Linked DNA regions of Lonchura striata. The protein of the gene in region 2 interacts with the protein of the main gene of each other region in a pairwise test. Links are inferred from orthologs where the notes say so. Each region holds a gene or a part of one and is shown on either strand. Other genes may lie near its edges.

Region 1 (10,053 bases), on a different chromosome or scaffold from region 2:
AAGCCAAGAAGGTTGGCAGCAGAAAGGCCAAAGCTGAATCCTCGCTGCAGCACTGAGGGGTGCAGCTGCAGATGATAGGCACAGGAGACTTCCCAGCTGCCTGGAACCAAGGCTACCCCATGTGTCTGGAGGTGGTGGGAACACACAAACCCCTGACACCCGCCTGTGACTGGCACCAGAGCCACGTGGGAAAAGTTGCCTCTCTGATGCCAGCTGGCTCTGGGTTGAGTTAAAAAACTCCTCTCAAACCTCCTGTCATCCTGTGGCGATGACTGACAGAGTAATACACCATTCATAAAACAGGAAACTGCTCACCCTGCTCCTTTGAGTGTATAATAAAACTTCTGAGGCTGAGAGCTGTAAAACCTGCCTTACAGAGTGCTGAGGAAAGTCTCAGCCACAGATCAGACCCTCACCACCCTGCCACCAGCTGCATAGCATAGGTAGAAATATACAGGATTAAAAACACATAAATTTCAAAAGCTTCATGTTAAACAACTTTTAAAGATATACCCTGACCTTTTCTTTCCATAACATAAATCATTACCATGGTATATCATGGTTTTTCTCCTTCAAAAAAAAATTCTTGATTCTCTTAGAAACTCCAAGTAGTCACCTATACGTGCTCCCAATCCTAAGTCTTGCTGCTACCAACTTTGGAAGAGGAATTAAATACATTTCTTAAAATAAATGGGTTCATTTAATTACTAGACATAAAATTAATTTCTTCACATTACACTGAGCACATTGCCTGGTCTTATAATAGAGACATCACCCTCTCACAAATAACAAAACCAATTTTATTGCAACACATCTACCTTGTTCCATATTTAGTTTTAATTCTCTACCTGAAATATTTGCCTCTTTTAAGAGATGGATTTGTATTCACCCATGTTCTGTGGTTTCAAATGCTCAGAGTTTTTAAGTCAAACCATAACATATTGAATTTCAGCAGTATAAGTTCCTATAGGCACTCTTGTGCTATGAGTTGCAGGGGATTTGGGACTTTTTAAATACTATTATTTATACTCTGACTTTTAGCTTCACCTTAACTAAGATTTTCACGGAAATATGAAGCAGGCCAATTAAGTTAAAAATATATAAAGCACAAGTCTTTGAGATTTCATTTTACCTTCAGAAAAATATATGACACTATAAACTAAATAAAATACAATGAAAATTGTGAAAGCAATCAATGTGCTATTTTTACAAAACTTCCTAAGTATGGAATTACCACTAAATCTCTACATAAGTCTCATTTGCTGAGAACAAGCATGTACTTAAAGACTTTCTTGACTCAAGATCAATTTTTAAAAGTAATCATTTACTAATAAAAAACAACGTTTTAGGGATATCACATTACAATAATCCCATTACTTATAAAGGTAGGGATGATACCGTGAATGTCAACATTGAAAAGAAACATTAAAGAGTTTGTGGGTCAGCAAGCTAACTAAAAACTAGCATGTCATTGTTTAACCTTAATCTTGGTAATTTATTGTGAATTTGCCAAAATTAATGACCTTGGGATTATCAATCATTAGAAACAGACATATTCCAAATACTTCATGCTAAATATAATTTCTTGAAAGATACAAGCGGAGTTTATGACTCCTAGTCTTAAAATCTTATTGTTGGTCCTTTCTGTTCAGTGAAGCGAAAAGTTTTGCTGAAGAGCGCAAAGATCAGCTGGTTGCTGAAGTAAATCTCCATCTCCTGCTTCTGTGCAATGTAACATTTTTAAATCTGCTCACTCTAGCTGTTAAAGGAATGAAATACATTCAGCTCTAGGAATGGTGCTAGGAATCTTTGCCTAGCTTGCAATGAAATAATATATTTGGTGAAATGATAAAATGATAGCACTTTACTACTGAGCTGTGATGAAGAGACCACCAGGGTAGCCCAAGCCCATATGAAGTCATCTCAAGCAATACATCTACAGCTCAGTTTGGTTTAGTAGCAGTGACATTTTTCTTCTCAGTCAACAGACTTTTGGTTTTGGTGCCTTTTGGCACATAATACCAGCCTTTGAAGCACTGATTGCTCAGCCAAAGTTAACAGAAACAGCTGCAAAACAAGATGCCATTATCTCTGGGTCTTGCTCTGAGTAAGCTACAAGAGCACTGCCATCTGTAAAGAGCAGTTCTTTAATAAGGGGACTTCTGAAGCTTTTGTTTCTGCATACAAACAAGCCAATTATAAATGTCGCTTGGGGAAATCTAAAAGTGGACTGTCAGAGACAGACTCTGTGTTTGCTCAATTTGCTGCTACTGAAAAAAAATATCTCCCTACTACTGAGATGCTGTAGCTCTAATCACATTTACAAGGGAGCTTTCCATCCAAAGAACCAACTGAAGATGATAATTTCTTCAACTCATTTGCTTTGGGGCAAAGAAGAGTTAGGTGTGGGGGTTGGTGGCTGTTCTTTTTTTTTTTTTTTTTTTAATTTTTATAGTTTTATGTATAGCAACACAGAAAGGTCTATTTAATTCTTTAAATGCATCTTAATAGTGTCAAGTAGCTTTAGACAGCCTGAGAGTTATTAAAAACTCCACAACTGAAAAAGGACCATGGTATTACACAGACATAAATAAGAAGAATTCAAGATTCTTTTTTTTTGCATGAAGTAGACCGTAAATACACATAAATACATCTCTGTAACTGCAGGTCATTTTCCTGACCCATTTCCCAGATGATACTACAAGTGTAAGTGTCTTTAAGCTGTTACAGTACTGGTGCTTACAGAGAAAAAAGAAGTATATGATCTATGTTTGAAACACATTTTAAATATTTCATTTTGCATCACATTGAAGTCATGCTGGGGTCACAAAAGAAGATTATTGCTTTATGATCAAGATTAGGTCTTCAACTATTGAGTTGTTTTAATGTTAGCCTTTGATTTCTTTTATGTTGAAGATATGCAGGGAATACTATTAACTAACTGTAATCTTGAGGAGTTCACGACCATAACAAGTTTTAAATGTCTGCATTTCTGCAGGTAGAATATGGAGTTGGCTGAAATTATATAGTCAACTAACAATAGTGTAGATTTGATACTGGAAAATAAGGAACCTAGCTTCACGCCCATTAAATTCAATAGGAATTTTACACACATTTAACCTCACGATGTTAAAGTAAAATGATTTTGTTCAATTTATTTGGAGTCTTTGTTCCAGATGACCTTCTCAAGTACATGTTATAGTTTTTCACATGTTCTTTTATAATACATTTCTCCATTTATTTTCCTTTTGTCAAAACACAGTGAAGTTTTTTTGGAAGAACAATGCAAATAGGTTTTATTTCATAAAAAAAAAAAAAAATGGTAATAAGGAAACCATGTGGATTAAGAAATGCAAAGAAGCATGGAACAAAACCCATAAACCAGGAAGACAGGATTGAAAGGCCTGGAAGAAAAAGTCATTGAGAGCAATTGCAGGGCTCTAAAGTAGGCACAAAGATTAGGCAGTGGCCAGAACACAGCAGCTAAACAGCTATTGAAAGGAAGTGGGTTTATAAACAGGAGCTCAAGCAAAAACAAGGAATGGCTTCAGTGCAGGAAACTATGGTAAATAGGAATGGCTTGTTCAGAGCTGTGGGAAACATTAAGAGAGTAATAAAAAGCAGAAGTCTTTTATTAATTTAAACATTTTAAGCACAGCATTTTAAAACTTGTAGAATTTTATATTTTTCTGATATAGAGATAAAATTATTTTACTTCAATTCTACCCATTACTGTCTCCCTTTTCAGTTGAACATCTCTATGTAGCTCCTAAATCTGTAGAAGACACTTGCTTTGATTGGTTTCAGAGTTTTTGTCAGAGTGGAGCCATCTTCCTAATATTAAGCAGGCATGAAGGCTCATATTCTTTACTGAATGTCATTAAGCTTCAACATATGAGTTTGAAGTTAAACAACTCTTATTTCCTAAATATGGAGGTTTTTCCTTATTGAGGCCGTAGAAGAGCTGTGGGGCTCTTTAAAGCTTTAGATAGTCAATAAAGATTTTAAGCATTGCAATTAACTTATAAAAACACTGTTAATGCTTCAGAGATACATTTTATCCTTTACAATACTCTTTTCAGCACTGTTTCTAGAGATAGGGAATATAACTTAGATTTCCATAAGCACTACCAAATTGCCATGCCAATAACCTTTGGTAATCAGGCAGAGTTGTAGCTTGCAGTTCAAGGACTTTTTCTCCACAAGGATCAAGATCAGAAGAAAAGAGAAGTCATGATTTTATGGGGAGAGACTTTCAGGGAGATTACATTGACTTTAGTCCTTGTGAGATTCAGAATCTGAAGCTTCTATCCCAGAAGACAAAAAGTAAGCCAGACAACCATGGCTGCTACTGTCATGTTTTAAGTTAGTTGTGTTTTGAATACAGATTCCTGAGAGCCGAGCTTGTTTTGATGTGCCTGTGCTCTTGCAGCTATCATGGAAGCTAGCCCTTCTGGATTGTTTTCAATCCTTTTAATTTCAGCCCTACTAACATATGTGTGATTTTGGCTTCAGTTTTTGTAGCACTCCACTTTGGGCTCTAGATGAGATAGAAAGGCATGTTGACCGCTTTTGCAAAGAGAATTGGTACACATTGATGGCAAGCCACTGAAACACCTTAATGCAGCCTTGTGTCTTTTGTACCACCCTGCCAGACTGTTTTAGTGAAGTGGTAAATGTAGTAATGCATCCTCTCCTGAGATATTAACATTTCTGGATTAATGTCATGATTTGACAGGATCGAGATGCCAAATATGTATTTTTCCAGTGCTGTTATCTGGAGATATATCAGGCTCCCCATTTCTAAGGTGCAGAAGGAAAGCTAAACAACATTCTCTATTGAGCCAAAATTTGTAAAAAAGATGGGACAAACTAAGTAACAAAACCTGTCAGGATTCAGGATTCACAGTCAGATTTCCAGAGCATCCTGATTTTGAGTCTCATGGTTGACATCGACAGATCCATGCAGATCCACTCTGGTTCTTTCTTCCAGAAATTGTGCTTCAGATGCCCAACTTCAAAAAGTTACTTGGCCACTAAATCGCTGCCTCTCCCTTGGCTTCAGAGGATAATGAAGTGCTGGATAGTGGTTTATGGAATTTTATTTTTTTAAATCTATTTGGACATGCCGATGTGGGGGCCAAAGTGAAAACAAAACCGCAGCCCAGCACCTCTAGCGCTTCACTGCTCAGCAGGGCGACGTGTCTCTCCCGCCGTCACACGCTGCCAGCCCACGAGCGGGGATGCTGCCGCTCCGCCGCCTGCGGAGACCCGCGCCGCTGGCAGCCGGGGGAGCGTCCCTGCAGCGGCGGCGGCGCCCGGCCGGGCGGGGCGGGGCGGGGCGGGGCGGGGTGCTGCCGGTCCGGGCCGGGCCGGGCGGGGCGGGGCGGGGCGCGGCGCTGCCGGGCCGGGCCGGGCCGGGCCGGGCGGGGCGGGGCGGGGCGCGGCGCTGCCGGGCCGGGCGGGGCGGGGCGGGGCGGGGCGCGGCGCTGCCGGGCCGGGCCGGGCCGGGCGGGGCGGGGCGCGGCGGGGCGCGGCGCTGCCGGGCCGGGCGGGGCGGGGCGCGGCGGGGCGCGGCGCTGCCGGGCCGGGCGGGGCGGGGCGCGGCGGGGCGCGGCGCTGCCGGGCCGGGCCGGGCCGGGCGGGGCGGGGCGCGGCGCTGCCGGGCCGGGCCGGGCCGGGCGGGGCGGGGCGGGGCGCTGCCGGGCCGGGCCGGGCCGGGCGGGGCGGGGCGGGGCGCTGCCGGGCCGGGCCGGGCGGGGCGGGGCGGGGCGCTGCCGGGCCGGGCCGGGCCGGGCCGGGCGGGGCGGGGCGGGGCGCTGCCGGGCCGGGCCGGGCCGTGACTCACCCGCCGGGCGAGCGGGGAACTCCCGCTGCCGCCGGGCTCCGCCGCCGCCGGCAGAGCGCATGTGCGGGGGCTCCCTGCTCCGCGCCGCTCCTCGCACCCTCCCGCCCTCTCTTCCTCTCCGCCGCCCTCCCTCCTTCCCTCTCCCTCCCTCCCTCCCTCCCTCTCTCCCCCTCTCTCGCTGCCCCCTCCCTCCCTTCCTCCCTCCCTGCCCGCCTGCCTGCCGCCGCCTCCCTCCCTCTCCCCGCCGGCTGGGTGCTGAAGTTGGGCGGATGGCAGCGAAGCAGCTGCGCTAGGGGACGAGCAGCACCAGCCCTTCCCGGGATCGCTCAGCGCCAACTGCACGCAGCCGGGCGGGGGTGGGTAAGGCTCTCCGCGCTCATTTCAGCCTGAACCGTGATAAACGGCACCAAAATGTCTGCTTTATAGTGATGCAAAGGGTGTGTGTGTGGGGAAAGCCATACCGACCAAAGGGAGGGATGTGGAAGGGGGAGGGGGGTGAGGGGGAAGAGGAAAAGGAAGGAGGGAGATGGATGGATGGATGCATGGATGGATGGATGGATGGATGGATGGCGGGCGGTAGAGCGCAACAGAAAATGTATTCACCGGGGTGACAGGGTGTGTGTAAACGTGCCTGTGTGTGTGTAACAACGGGCGGCTTCGGCGCCGAGGTTGCAAGGTGGAGTGTCTGTGTGTGTCTGTGTCTGTGTGTGCGTGTGTGTGCGTGTGTGTGCGTGTGTATGTGTGTATGTCCTGCCCGCGATGCACAAAGGGGTGGGAAGAGGTGTCGCCGGGCTCTACCCGCGCCCCCAATCTCCGCCGCTCCCCGGTTTGTGTTGGGGGTGCCGCGGGGCATTCGCCGCGCCGGGCGATGCTGCTCAGCCCGAGCAGGGGAGGGATCGGGCCGCTCCCGGGGAAGCCGGGGACACGGGCTAGCGGTGTGACAGCCGCCAGATCGGAGGCGAGACAGCGCTCCTCCTGTCTTTCCTCTTGACCTTCCACTGCCTGTAACGTGGGTCTCCTTCGCGCGAGGAGAGGTGGTGTAATTTTTATTATTATTGTTGTTGTTGTTGTTTCAATCCGAGGAGCCGGCAGACGGTGAGGGTGAACAAGCGAGTCGTTGCTCTAAGATCAGGAGTTGCTTTCCCATCCCTCCTTCCCTCTGCCCCCTTTCCCGGCTGCCCCTCCTGGCCGGCCGCACCGGGGCCGGGGAACCCCCGCGGGCAGCGGCCGCGGAGCCCCGGGCGGCACCCAGCCTCCCCCGCCCGCCGTACCCTGCGGCACGGCCATCCCTCTGCCCCGGCCTCCTTCCCGCCCCTCCCCTGGAGATGTCGCGGGCGGGGGCCGCGGGAGGAGCAGGTGGCCGGGCGCGGCCGGCGGGGCAGGGATGCTCCCGGTGCGCCGTGCCCGGCCCCGAGCGGAGCGGGGCTTCCCTGCGCCGCTGGGGAAACACCCGCCGCCGCCGCGCTCGGTGCGGCGGGGATGCGGAGCCGCTGCCCGGCGCCCGAGACCCGCCGTGTGCTGCTCCTGCGGGGCTGCGCCTCTCCTCGGGATGAAGCCGCTCGCAATTAAGAATGCCGAGGTTGCCTCGCTCGCTCGGCTGCCAACCTAACATTCATCTCTATCTCTTCTTGTTGATGTAGAAAGAAACCTTACTGTTGCTGTCAGGCTTAGAAGCAGCAGGGGTGAAATTTATGGTTTTCAGTATTTGGTTTCTTTCATGTCTGTATCTGGATTTTCACCAATGTGTGACATAGGTGGCAGCCAGATGCTTTTGCAAAATGGATGAAATCTGAAATACCTTTCTAGGTAAATATAAGTAAGTTACATATTGGCTGGCAATACTATTATGGGTAACTGGTGAAAAATACCTTCCTATAAATGTAATATTCGTGCATTACAAATATAAAGGAAGTTGATTCCTTTTCACATCAGTTGATGCTAGTGTCATCATTCTTACATAAATCACTGGGAAATTTACCTGTGGCATAAGCCATTTAGGCAAACATACTATTTAACCCTTATAGAAAAACAGTGTTATGCACTGTTATCAGATATATATTTTGTTTCTAGCTCATACCCAGAAAAAGCAAAATCCTATTAAAAGATGAGTGAGCCCCACCCCAGTAAGTTTATGGCCTAAAATGCAAATGGTATGATACACTCAAGTACTCACCTCCCTGAAATAACGTATTAAAGCATTTAAATGCCTTTCTCCATCAAGGCCTTAGATCCTTTTAAGTAGCCAAAATAAGAACATAATTTAATTAAAAGAATACGATCAAATAAATTGCTATAGTGAGTTGAACATCTAGTCCAATATCCTGGCTCTGACTACAGCCATTAGCAGATGCTGAAGGAGAAAAACGTAAGAAACAGGACTGGCATACAGGGATCTTTTCCTGGCATATCCTTTCAAGTTTCAGCAACACACAGAACATGGATTTCTTAAACTGGAGTTTGCTCTCTGACCATCATGTATAATAAACTTTGAGTTTTCCTACTCCCTTTAAAAAAATCTGTTTATGCTTTATTCTCAACCTGCTTCTGTAGCAATGAGCACCACAATTTAATTATGATTTGTGTGAAAAGGTACTTCCTTTTGTTTGCTATGAACCTGCTGCCTGGTAATTTCGCTCAGTGCTCCTGAGCTGACAAGGAGCACATATTGTGTCTATGTAAGGTGCCAGGAGTGTCCTCTCAAACCAGAGCAGGTACAGCCCTGGCAGGTCAGGTCCGTTCATTTTACCTATCACCAAGCTGAGAGGCCTGCCCAGGAGTGTGAAACTGTACTCAGCCCTTATATGATGTCTTATCTTGACATCTACAGATAAGGATAATTATTCTTCTTCTTGTTATGCAACATGGACACTTATGCACAAAATATTTGTTTCAAGAAGGCTACTGAAAAGCTGTCTGTTGAAAAAATACTCCCTCCACTATTGATTTGAATTGAAATCTGACTGACAGCTTGGTGAAAAATTCCCTATCCCAATGCAGTTTTCTACCTACCCTGAAAAAAAGATGAAATATTTTATTCTTAATTTCAACTCTTATTTTTAATAACTATATTAAATACAAAATGAAAACTATATATCAAGGACATATATGTATGTATGTGTATATATATTATATATATAAACTCTGTGCATTTGAAGTAGCATCATTTTCTAATTGTTCTGTGTAATGTTCATTATAAGGATGTGCATCAACATGCAGTTTCAAAAGGAAAGTATAAATGTCCCATAAAATGTAGCTGATTTGTAAGGAGCTATAAAACAAATTCTTCTTCAGAAGAGTACTCCTGAGTTCAGTCCTGCTTGAGGAGGTATTGATCAGATCAACATTGCAGAATACTTCCCTGATCTCAGTGGTAGCCACTCTTTGATTTTGTCATAAGAATAATAAAGGAATAAGAGACCAGACAACTACAAAACACAACCCAGACCCAAAGGCACAGAAGTTGTGTCTTTACAGTTTTAATTTGGCAGCAGACACTACTTGGAGCAACACAATACACAGCAGAACGTGATGAAGTAGAGAAGGGTAGAAACCCATGAGTTGTGAAATTCTTCACAAAAAATAAAATGCTTGAAATCTCAGATGTGTTAATCTCCATCTCCCAAATGACTAAAAGAAGGAGAGGCTCAGTGGTATTGTTATGGGGACAGGATAGGAGGAATGTCAGCCAGTCTCAGACTTAAGCCAGTCTCAGACATGATTTTCTACTTACAAGTAGTGTATGTGTGTCTGTATGTGTATATGTAGCAAAACACACATATATGTAGATACATATGTAGATATATATATGGTATATACATTTTTATTCACTAAAAATACACTATCCTAAACAAATTTTACAATCATAGTACTTTTAAGTAGCACTTTCTTGCTTGTTTTCTTCGCATGCATGCCTTTAAGTATGAACATATGGAGATTCTTAGGAATACACCAGAAGTGTAACTAAGTGAAACAGTATTAGCTCTTACAGAGATGTTCATTACTGTTCCATTAGCTCCCTCCTGATCATCTCTTCATGATGTCAGGCATTTATTTTGCACTTGTACCAAGATTTCAGTTTTTCTAGTGAAAATATATCCCTACCATACTATTAGTGCCTATTCTGTGAATACCAGATGAACATAAAATTCATGTGCTAATTGGTCTGAGCTAAAATTCATTAAAAACTAAATCCTTCACAAAATTTT
Region 2 (9,371 bases):
GTGCTGTCCAAAATGTCTTACGTGGGACTAGCCAAAGTAACTAAAAATATGTCTGTTGACTTAAGCAAAGTTTGGATCAAAATGCTATTGTGTGACTGGTTTGCTTGTCTTAGTGTAAACCAGACCTTAATACTGAACACGTTAAAGGAACATCCTGCATTTTCATTCTTCCTTCTTTCTCCTCAGCCTTGCACTGTCCATGTCTGGGTTTTGTGCTTCATTTGGTTGCGTTTCCTTTCTTCCCTTTGTGCAATGAGAAAGACACAGATTTATCCCACTTAATTTTGGATTCTTAGCAGAGGCTTCCAAGCCTGGAGCCTCAGTATGGCAAAGAGCAGCTGGGTGTCTCTGGGAGCAACTGAACAGATCTGAAGGTTGAAGTGCCTCTCTTTGTCTCTCATTCTCTGTGGATCAGAGAGAAGACAGTGGAAAGGGGTTCTCAGCTTGGTCCCTCAGTGCAGGACCTGCAGCCAGGCAGGAGAAATCCAAGGTCAGGCATGCAATCCCACCCAGGATCCACTGGGAACACTGGATGGACACTCACTCCATTACACTGCCCCCACCACATTTTTCCTGTAAAAAACACCTCTCCAAGAGCACAGCAGGGTCAGAACAGAGGACAAAGACACACACATCCGGACCCTCTTCCCAACCATGCCAAACAAGCAGCACTCTCTTCCTTTCTATTTTTTTTCTGAGCAGGGAATCCACACCTCGTTACCCACAAGAAGGTCCAGAAGACAGAGCAGCTGGCAGGGATGCCAGCTCTGAGCCTCCCCTTCTTGTCCTCAGGTTACAAATCATAACAATAAAAGAAGCTCTATGGTTTCTCCTTGCCGGATCATTGTTGAAGGAGGACCTCTAGTGCTGTGGTTTCAGGATATGCCCCATTGAGGTGGACTCTGCATGAGCACAGCCCCTCTGCTCCTGCTCCCCCATACTTTGGGCTCAAACCCAGTTCCCTCTCAGCCCTCCCCTCCCCAGGCACTCCAGGCTTGTCACTGGGAAATTATTTCCTTCCTTTCCCCTTTCCCCTTTCCCCTTTCCCTTTCCTTTCCTTTCCTTTCCTTTCCTTTCCTTTCCTTTCCTTTCCTTTCCTTTCCTTTCCTTTCCTTTCCTTTCCTTTCCTTTCCTTTCCTTTCCTTTCCTTTCCTTTCCTTTCCTTTCCTTCCTTTCCTTTCCTTTCCTTTCCTTTCCTTTCCTTTCCTTTCCTTTCCTTTCCTTTCCTTTCCTTTCCTTTCCTTTCCTTTCCTTTCCTTTCCTTTCCTTTCCTTTCCTTTCCTTTCCTTTCCTTTCCTTTCTTTCCTTTCCTTTCCTTTCCTTTCCTTTCCTTTCCTTTCCTTTCCTTTCCTTTCCTTTCCTTTCCTTTCCTTTCCTTTCCTTTCCTTTCCTTTCCTTTCCTTTCCTTTCCTTTCCTTTCCTTTCCTTTCCTTTCCTTTCCTTTCCTTTCCTTTCCTTTCCTTTCCTTTCCTTTCCTTTCCTTTCCTTTCCTCCCTATCTTTCTCTCACAAGGCAGAACAGCTGCTGCCCTCACTATCCCCAGGGGCATCTCCCCACTGCTCCTCCAGCCAGAACATTTATAAGTGGATGTGAAAGGAAAAAGAAAGAAAATTCTGAATATTTCCCAATGACAAGCAGTGAGACCAGAGCTTTTAGAAACTATATTTCGTGTTATTCCATTGCACAGAAATTGCTGATCGATTTGTAAAATTTATATGATGGAGACTTATCCCTGCCTGGTTTTGCTTTTGTAGTTTGAGGAGTTACTGACAGAGGGGCAAGAAGAGCTTCACCCCCCTTCACAAATGGCCAGGTTTAGTGCTTTGGTTAGAGGAAGGAACCAGTCATCAGGATTTTATGGAAGCAAAAGGGAAAAACCAAGCTTAAGTGCTACCAAAACCAGACCTCCCGTGTTTAATGGCAGTTGGACCTCTCGAGGAAACCACTTGGGCGGACACCCTGTCCCATGTGGTTGAGCTGTTCCCTCTGTCAGTGGTTTCAGAGGAAAAGATCATGTATCATTCTCGCAGCCAGAGCCTTCTGGAATCAATAAAATTATTTGCTCTTCTTCCCCAAAATGTTTTGAGTTAACCCATCAAAATTTCCAAAGCGCTGGCAGGATGGAATAGCTGCAGGCACCAGGAGAGAGGGAGGTGAGCAGCCAACTCACAGAGAAACACAAGGGTGGATGATACTGAGCTGCCCAGGAATCACCTTAATATCAGATTTTATTCTGTTTTGAAAACTTGACTCATGTTCTCAATTAACTGCAATGTCAAATTACAATATGTAAAGCCATATTGCTCTTTTGCCTAAGTTATTTCAGAAGAGATGTTGCATTTGCAGCTTTATGTCCCAAATACCCCTATGAATGCAAATGGGCAGAAGATTTCAAATTAGCTCAATTTACAAACTGCAGTCAGGAATATTCTGAAAGAAAGGGGCCAAGGAAAATATGTGAAATACTTGTTCTTAAGAGATCAGGTCAAGTAAGTGACCAGGAGGAATTTCCATTTATAGCACTGTGTGTCCTGCGGTGGCTGTAGCACTGCCTCTGACAGTGGGATGATTTCAAGTTTAAAAGTGTATTTACCTTTTTTTTTTTTTTCTCCTATTATCCTGCAACAACAACAGCAAAATGACATTTTAAGGAGGAGTTGTGGCCAGGCAGTTTTTAGGCAGAATGATGTGAGCATCTGGCTGGGAGAGAGCTGGAACCTGCACCCCAGTTACCTGTAGCTGCCTCACATTTTCCTCCAGTTTACACATGACAATTCAGGATTTGTCCAATTTTTTCCCAGAAATGCACAGAAAGGCCAGCTGGGATTCTGACAAGCAGGATCTGAGCACTCTGCCTAATGCAACAGGTACTGCCCACACCTTTGGGGATGGGATTTCTCTTGCTGCACACCTCTCTGCTCCCAAGAGTTTTCACTGCAGCCGTCACCAGTATACACAAACCATTAATTAAGTACTGAAAATGAACCACACTCACAGAAGCCAAAACAACACTGGTGTATGCACATTAATCAACATGTCACCTTAGAGACCCTCAGAACCATGAAAGGTCGTAAAGCTGTCAGTCAATTCAGTGTTAAATTGGCATCAAAAACCACCTTGCAGCAACTTGGATGTACAAAACTGAACATAAGCACAACTGATCATGACCAGAATGTCCTAAAGCTCCAACATGAGGGTGGGGAGGAAGGACCATCCCTGTGACATCCTGGTTATCAGCCAGGACTGGATTCTCTCCTACAATAAACAGTCGGGCTCTCCAAGGTCACCAACACCAGCAGAACCCCCACATCTTTAGCAGATGACAGCTGCTACATTTCTACTCTAAAATAAAAAGAAAATAAAGGAGGAATTCAAAGTTTCTACTTACAGCATTAAGCCCCAGGGAGTTTCCTGGGAGAGAGGAGGTGACTCCGGAGAGAATGGCTGTGGCCACCACTGCCCCCAGGCACTGGGCGAGGATGTACATGAGCGCCTTGAAGATGCTGATCTGGCAGCTGAGCAGCAGCCCCAGGGTGACAGCGGGGTTCAGGTGCGCCCCGCTGATGTGGCCCACGCTCTGCGCCATGGTAGCGATGGATAACCCAAAAGCCAGGGAAACCTTCACGTTGTCCTGGGACCTCGTTGATGTTTTGTTGGCCACCACGGGGAAGTTGAAGCCCAGAGCCGAGCCAATGCTGATAAAAATGAAAAGGCTCATGGCCAAGAACTCGGCCACCACTGCCCTCCAGAATATTTTCTTTCTGAATTCACTAGCCATCTTTCCTCTTTCTCTCTCTCTCTCTCTCCCCTCCTCACTTTTCCTTCTCCCTCTCTCCCTTCCTTTGCCTGATATTTTCCCTTTGAGGTCTGAAGAGAAATCTGGAGGAAAAATACAGTCCTTGGATTATTTATAGGGCTTTGGGTGGTCTGTAGGAGGGAAGGGGTGTTGCACAAAAGGAGGAAAGAACATCTACATAGATGCTGACTGCTAGATTGATGTAAGACACTGTTTGCCTGCCAAAGTTTTTTTCTTCCTTTTTTTTTTTTTTTTTTTTTTTTTCTTTTCCCCTCCCTTAACAGCATTCGATCTCTGCCGCCGTTTTTAAGAGGCTTTTTAAAATTCTTGGAAAAATCTTTAGGAGAGCCTTAGGAATTTCAGCCTCACTTCTTTAACTCCTGTGTCATCTTTCAGCGCGTGGATCGGAATGAAAGCTTTGATGGGATTTCTGTCTGGAGCTGAAACAGAAAGCAAAGTTATCAGTGCAGGCGGGTAAGTTGTTCACGCTCGGCTTCAGCGGCAGCAGATAACAGCTGAAAGTAGTAAATAAGACTGACAGCTAAATCCACACTCCAGAGGCTTCAGTAGCTCTGTTTATTTTGAAAAAAAAGGTAGAAATGTCCCTTCTGCTGGCTTTGTGGACTCGGAGATGTTTTGGATGCCAAGTCTGGCGGCTGTACGGACACTTGGATTTACACAGCTCACACGAGCTGGTGTTCACTCATGAGGGATCATTTTTAATCTCTGTGTAAATCTGCCATAAAACTGTGGTAAGCTGGAAGCTTTCAATGCATGTAATTTGGATGCTGCTGATGATTTTTTGTAATTTATTTTTTTTAATTTATGTCATTTCTTCACTTTTCTGCTTCCAAGCACAGAGGCGTCTCAGGTTTTCCCCATCCTTCCCCTTCTGAGTGGCAGGAAAAAAGCCAATTTGGGGGCTTCCTAGCCCAGGTCCTGCAGGGAAAGGCATCTCTCACCACCCTGCTGAAGGTCAGCTCAGCTGTCCCGGCTGTCTCCAGGGAGACTCTGCTGCCGCTGAGCCACAGGACTGGCCAGACAGAGGGGACAGAGGGGACAGCAAGGGAGAAGGGAAATTACATGCTTGGTTTTGCAGACAAAATGAACCTCCCGGCAGTGCCAGAGCCTCTCGGAGCAAAAGGTCTCAGTGCTTGGCTTTACCTCCGTGGGGCTCGGACACACGGCTCAGATTAACCCCTGAGCTCTCGGATCCCTGCCCGCTCCGCAGCTGCGAGTGTCTCCAGCTGGAAATCCCGGGATCTGACTTCAAACCAAGGAAAATCTGTTCCAGAGGCAGGAAGTCATTCCCCAGGCACAACTCTTGAAGGATGGGTGTTTAAAAGCAGCCTACTTTTTTTCCTCTTCTTTCTTTAATGTACTGGTAACATCTTCTGAATTGTACATAAATTAATTCAAGGCTTTTTCATTTGGACAATATGGCAGTAAGAAGGAAAAAATCAAATACACACCTGGATGGTATTAGACAGCCAATAAGGATTTTTTTAAAATATATTTGGTTTTCAAAAGATGATTCAGTGACAAAGCTGAAAACAGTTTAAATAAAAGCCCAGATGTCTGCAGCTTGACATACCCAAGTTCTTATTCTTCCTAGGCATCAGATGTTCTTGATTTTTCACATAGAAAATTTTATTTCCTTTTTGTTTTATGATACACTTACACAACAGGACCGTACCAGTGAAAAGGGAAAAAGTAAAGAATGGGTCTTCAATGAGGAACAATGTGACAGACAAATCAAAAATCAAATTTAGCCAAATAGTGGGACATAGTGGAATTTTAATGTAAGATACAGTTGATTGTGGTTTTATCCTATCAGTGGAACTTTTTATTTACTGCAAACATTATCTGAAACAAAGATCTCCAGTGATCACCTTCCCTGGCCCTTCCAAGAGGCTGCCCAAGACCCAGGCAGGACATGCATCACACACCTCAGGGAACTGAGACAGCAGAGCTTTGTGAATAGTTTGCAAGAGTTTCCATGTGTCCAAAATTGGCCTCCATGGGATGGAGCTGCCCAAATAGTCACCAGCGTCCACAGGAAACTCCCTCTTTACTCACCTCTTCCTACAGTTAGGAACTGGATGACCAAGCCACCTCTGTATCAGTACTGATAAGGTGAGGAAGAACCCCTCTAAGGAAAACTTTCAGAAGGTGGGAAAATAGACTGGGGAAGTATTGCAAAATGCTCCCCTGGTTTCTGCAGTTTCCTCTCAGTGTCCCTGACTCGCCTGTGCCACAGACAGGACCCCAGGAAAGCCAGAACTCCATGTGAACAACACTAACATTAAATATACCTCAAGAGGAGAAGGTTGGGCACCACCTTGCTGTTGAACCTGCTGGTCACCTCACGTTTGCATTTTCATCCTGGGACTCTCCATTTGTCTTTTCATAAATGTTACCAACCTCTCTTGTTATATTTTGGAACTTGGTGCCACAGTGATTCAACAAAATAGTTATTCAGACAGAAAAAAAAAAAAATCTGAAATAAATTAAAGAGAACAACAGGGAGTACACACAAATAAAAGAAACAGACTTTTCCTGTACATAGAAGAACCACCAAGTGAGGAAACAGAAAGGCATGGCAACAAAAGAACAAATATTCTGCACAAATAGAGGGAATTGTGGAAAAATTAAATTACACAATGGTGTGAGTGTAATAAGGAAAAAGGGGAGAGAAAATGTGAGTAGAGAAACCATACATCAGTTGGACTTCTTCAGAAATGTCCACCACAACACAAATCTAACTGGTGCCCAACACACTACGTCACCTTTCCAAAAAAACATGCTCCATCCCATGTTACTCAGGCTGATGGCAAAGACCCCGGTGCTTAGTAAAGTGAACAAAGAACACTCAGACCACAAAACCACCAGAAGCCCCAAAAAAGGGTCAAAATCCAATTTCCTGCATTCCAGATAAGCTGGGGTTTGTGCAGATAGCTTTTCTGGGCATGATTTTAGCTTATCCACCACAATTGAAGGTGAAGTTTGGATTTTTCTAGAAATAGAGATGATTGCCAAATTTATGTCAGTGTTTGAGACAGGCAATTAAGAACAGATCTGTTTGGAACAAGAAGAAAAAAGGAACTTTTTATCTAAGGGGTGTTTCTTCACAGACAACTTAGACCAGAGTATTCCCAACCTCTCTTTGATTTTGTTGCACTAGAGACAGCTTAACGAAAAATCAAGCTCACAGGAATGGGTTTTTCATTGCCAAGATCTCAGGGCTGACTCCTTTTTTGCATGAAATAAATCAGATTTTGGAGGGCTATAGCACAAATGTCCCTTAACGTTTCATTCAGAAAACAAATGTACTTGTTGAAGTTGTAGGCTTTGTTCTGTGATCCCACCCATCAGATTGCTCAGGATCTCTGCTTTTTTAACAAGAAACAAATGTCAGTGACTTCAAATTTGGTCTTGGCTAACAAGAAATCTCTGGGAATTTCCCTCTTAGGTGAAGGAACAGTCAAAGTCGAAGGGCAGAAGGAATGAACGTAAGTCCAGCAGTCAAATGATTGAAAGAACCAGGGGAAGTTCAGCAAAATACAATTACTCCTCTCTTGTGAAGAATTCATTTTTCTGTGACCTTGCCAGACAAGCCTTTTAGCAGGCAAGCAGCAGTTCAAGAAAAGCTTTTTTACCTCCAGCTTCAGAGACAACAGACATTTCCTCTTCTGCCCATGGACCTTTCATCCCTCTGAGCCATCACCACTCTCACCAGCACAGAGGACAGCAAAGCCATGGAGCAAGGAAGAGCCAGGGGATCCATGTATCCTGCCTAAAACATCTCAGAAATGGGAAGGGTTTGAGGGTTCTACACATCTATGATGGGTAGAATGAAAACATACAGAAAGCTGTAGTTCACAGGTGGAGTTTCCTGTAAGAATAACAATTACAAACTTAAACAGATTTGCAGTGACGCTCAGGAGCTGTTTTCTGGGCTCAATCCACTTTCTGGTTAGAAGTAGAACCTCTCCGTGCTGCTGATGTAAAAACTACAGAGTGGAAATTGAGACAAGGTAGAGATGCTTGCAAATTTCTCTGCAGCAGCTGACTGATCACAACCAACACCTGTCAGTGCGAGCAAACTGGGAGGGGCTTCAGACTGAATCTCTGACTTAATGCTCCTAAATGTGGGGAAGATGGAATATTTCACACACTTCCCCCTCTCCAGGGAATTCACTACCAACCAGCCTCAGCACCCACACATGCTCCATATGCCAGATGATGAAAATTCTCTTCTGAGCTGCTCAGCTGGACTTGTTCCCTGTGTGATAAGCCAATTTGGTTTTGATTTAGTCTCAACCCTGGCTGTCAGGGGTGTCAGAGACACGAGCGGGGAGGGAGGAAGTGTGTACAGGTGCCACTTAAAGAGGGCAGCCAGGAGTGGAGGAAGCCTCATCCCTGAGGAGGCTTAGCCTGGCAACCCCTCACATGAGGCAGTCACTGTGGAGGGGCTTCTCCAAGCAGGTAATGAAAAGAAAGGCTGGAACTGGGCCAATGGTCTCCACTGTCGCTGAGGCTCACTGCTGTTTGTTGGGTATTGTAAATGCAGGTGAACCCAGTAGGAAGAAATGATGATGTCTGACTCCAGTTCAGAAGGAGGTTTATTTATTTATTTATTATAACTATACTACAATACATTATATACTATTTAAAGGAGATACTAAAACTACAGACCTATTTTTTCTAACTACCATATCTAACTCACTCACAACTTGTGACCCTCTCTGAGAGTCCAGCCACAGGTGGATTGGATTTGCCATCAGGCTCCAACAATCCTCACCAGAATCCAACCAAGCAATCACCCCAGGTAAACAATTCTCCAAACACATTCCACATGGGAAAAACTAGGAGCAGAAATAGAAATTGTTTTCTCTTTCTTTCCTCTGTGCTGCTCTACAAAAAGTCCTGAAAGGAAGAAGAAGGTCCCTGTGACAGTTGTTCCATTCCTTTGCCCTGACCCCAGCCTGCCTTCTGGTTCTCCTGACTTTGCTGACTCTTGCTTGCCCTCGTGCCTGTCCTTACCTCCCTGTATCCCTGACCAATGCCCTGCTGTAGCAGCGTGGGGTTTCTGCTACCTACATCTTATTTCCCAATAAGCATCTCCTGTGGAAAAGCCTCTTGAAGAAGCATTCAGGCAAAACAGTCAAGTCCATACACACCACACTCACCACGGCCAGCTCAGCCAAGAGAGGCAGAAGGGCCTTTTATATGGTCAGTTCCAGCGAGGCTTATTTCAGCATGCCAAAGGGGAACAGGAGACTAAAGACAAAGACCATGTGCTGTGCACAAGCTTAAGTATGGGAGGTCACAGGGGTGGTACAAAAGAGCAGCAACCTGTAGGGGGTTGAGGGATGAATAATTGGGGTGGGCAGGGTCAATTGGCCAATGGGGAAAGCAGTCTAATGTAGATTTCCAATAGTGCTGCTGACCACCATGAGGAAGTCCTTTCTGTCCACCCAGGTGGGGAAAGTCTCTCTGGTAAGTCTCTCCAAGGCAAGGCTCTGGGGGTTTCCCTGAGGGGGGAAGATTCAGAGGACTCCACACCCTGCCA

What was found.
Region 1: the proteins of AQP1 (region 2) and RGS17 interact in binary tests that used the Homo sapiens proteins (3 or more experiments, as listed by UniProt). The two-hybrid records come from large-scale screens. The link is inferred for Lonchura striata from reciprocal best matches to the Homo sapiens genes AQP1 and RGS17.

Annotation. Positions count from the first base shown.
Region 1 is NC_134605.1:56,032,050-56,042,102, forward strand, and holds the start of RGS17 (regulator of G-protein signaling 17), read left to right. Parts: upstream 1-6,095; 5' UTR 6,096-6,208; exon of another isoform or gene 6,209-6,285; intron 6,286-10,053. UniProt on the Homo sapiens protein: Regulates G protein-coupled receptor signaling cascades, including signaling via muscarinic acetylcholine receptor CHRM2 and dopamine receptor DRD2.
Region 2 is NC_134603.1:153,508,100-153,517,470, reverse strand, and holds the start of AQP1 (aquaporin-1), read right to left. Parts: upstream 4,048-9,371; 5' UTR 3,779-4,047; coding exon 3,389-3,778; intron 1-3,388. UniProt on the Homo sapiens protein: Forms a water channel that facilitates the transport of water across cell membranes, playing a crucial role in water homeostasis in various tissues.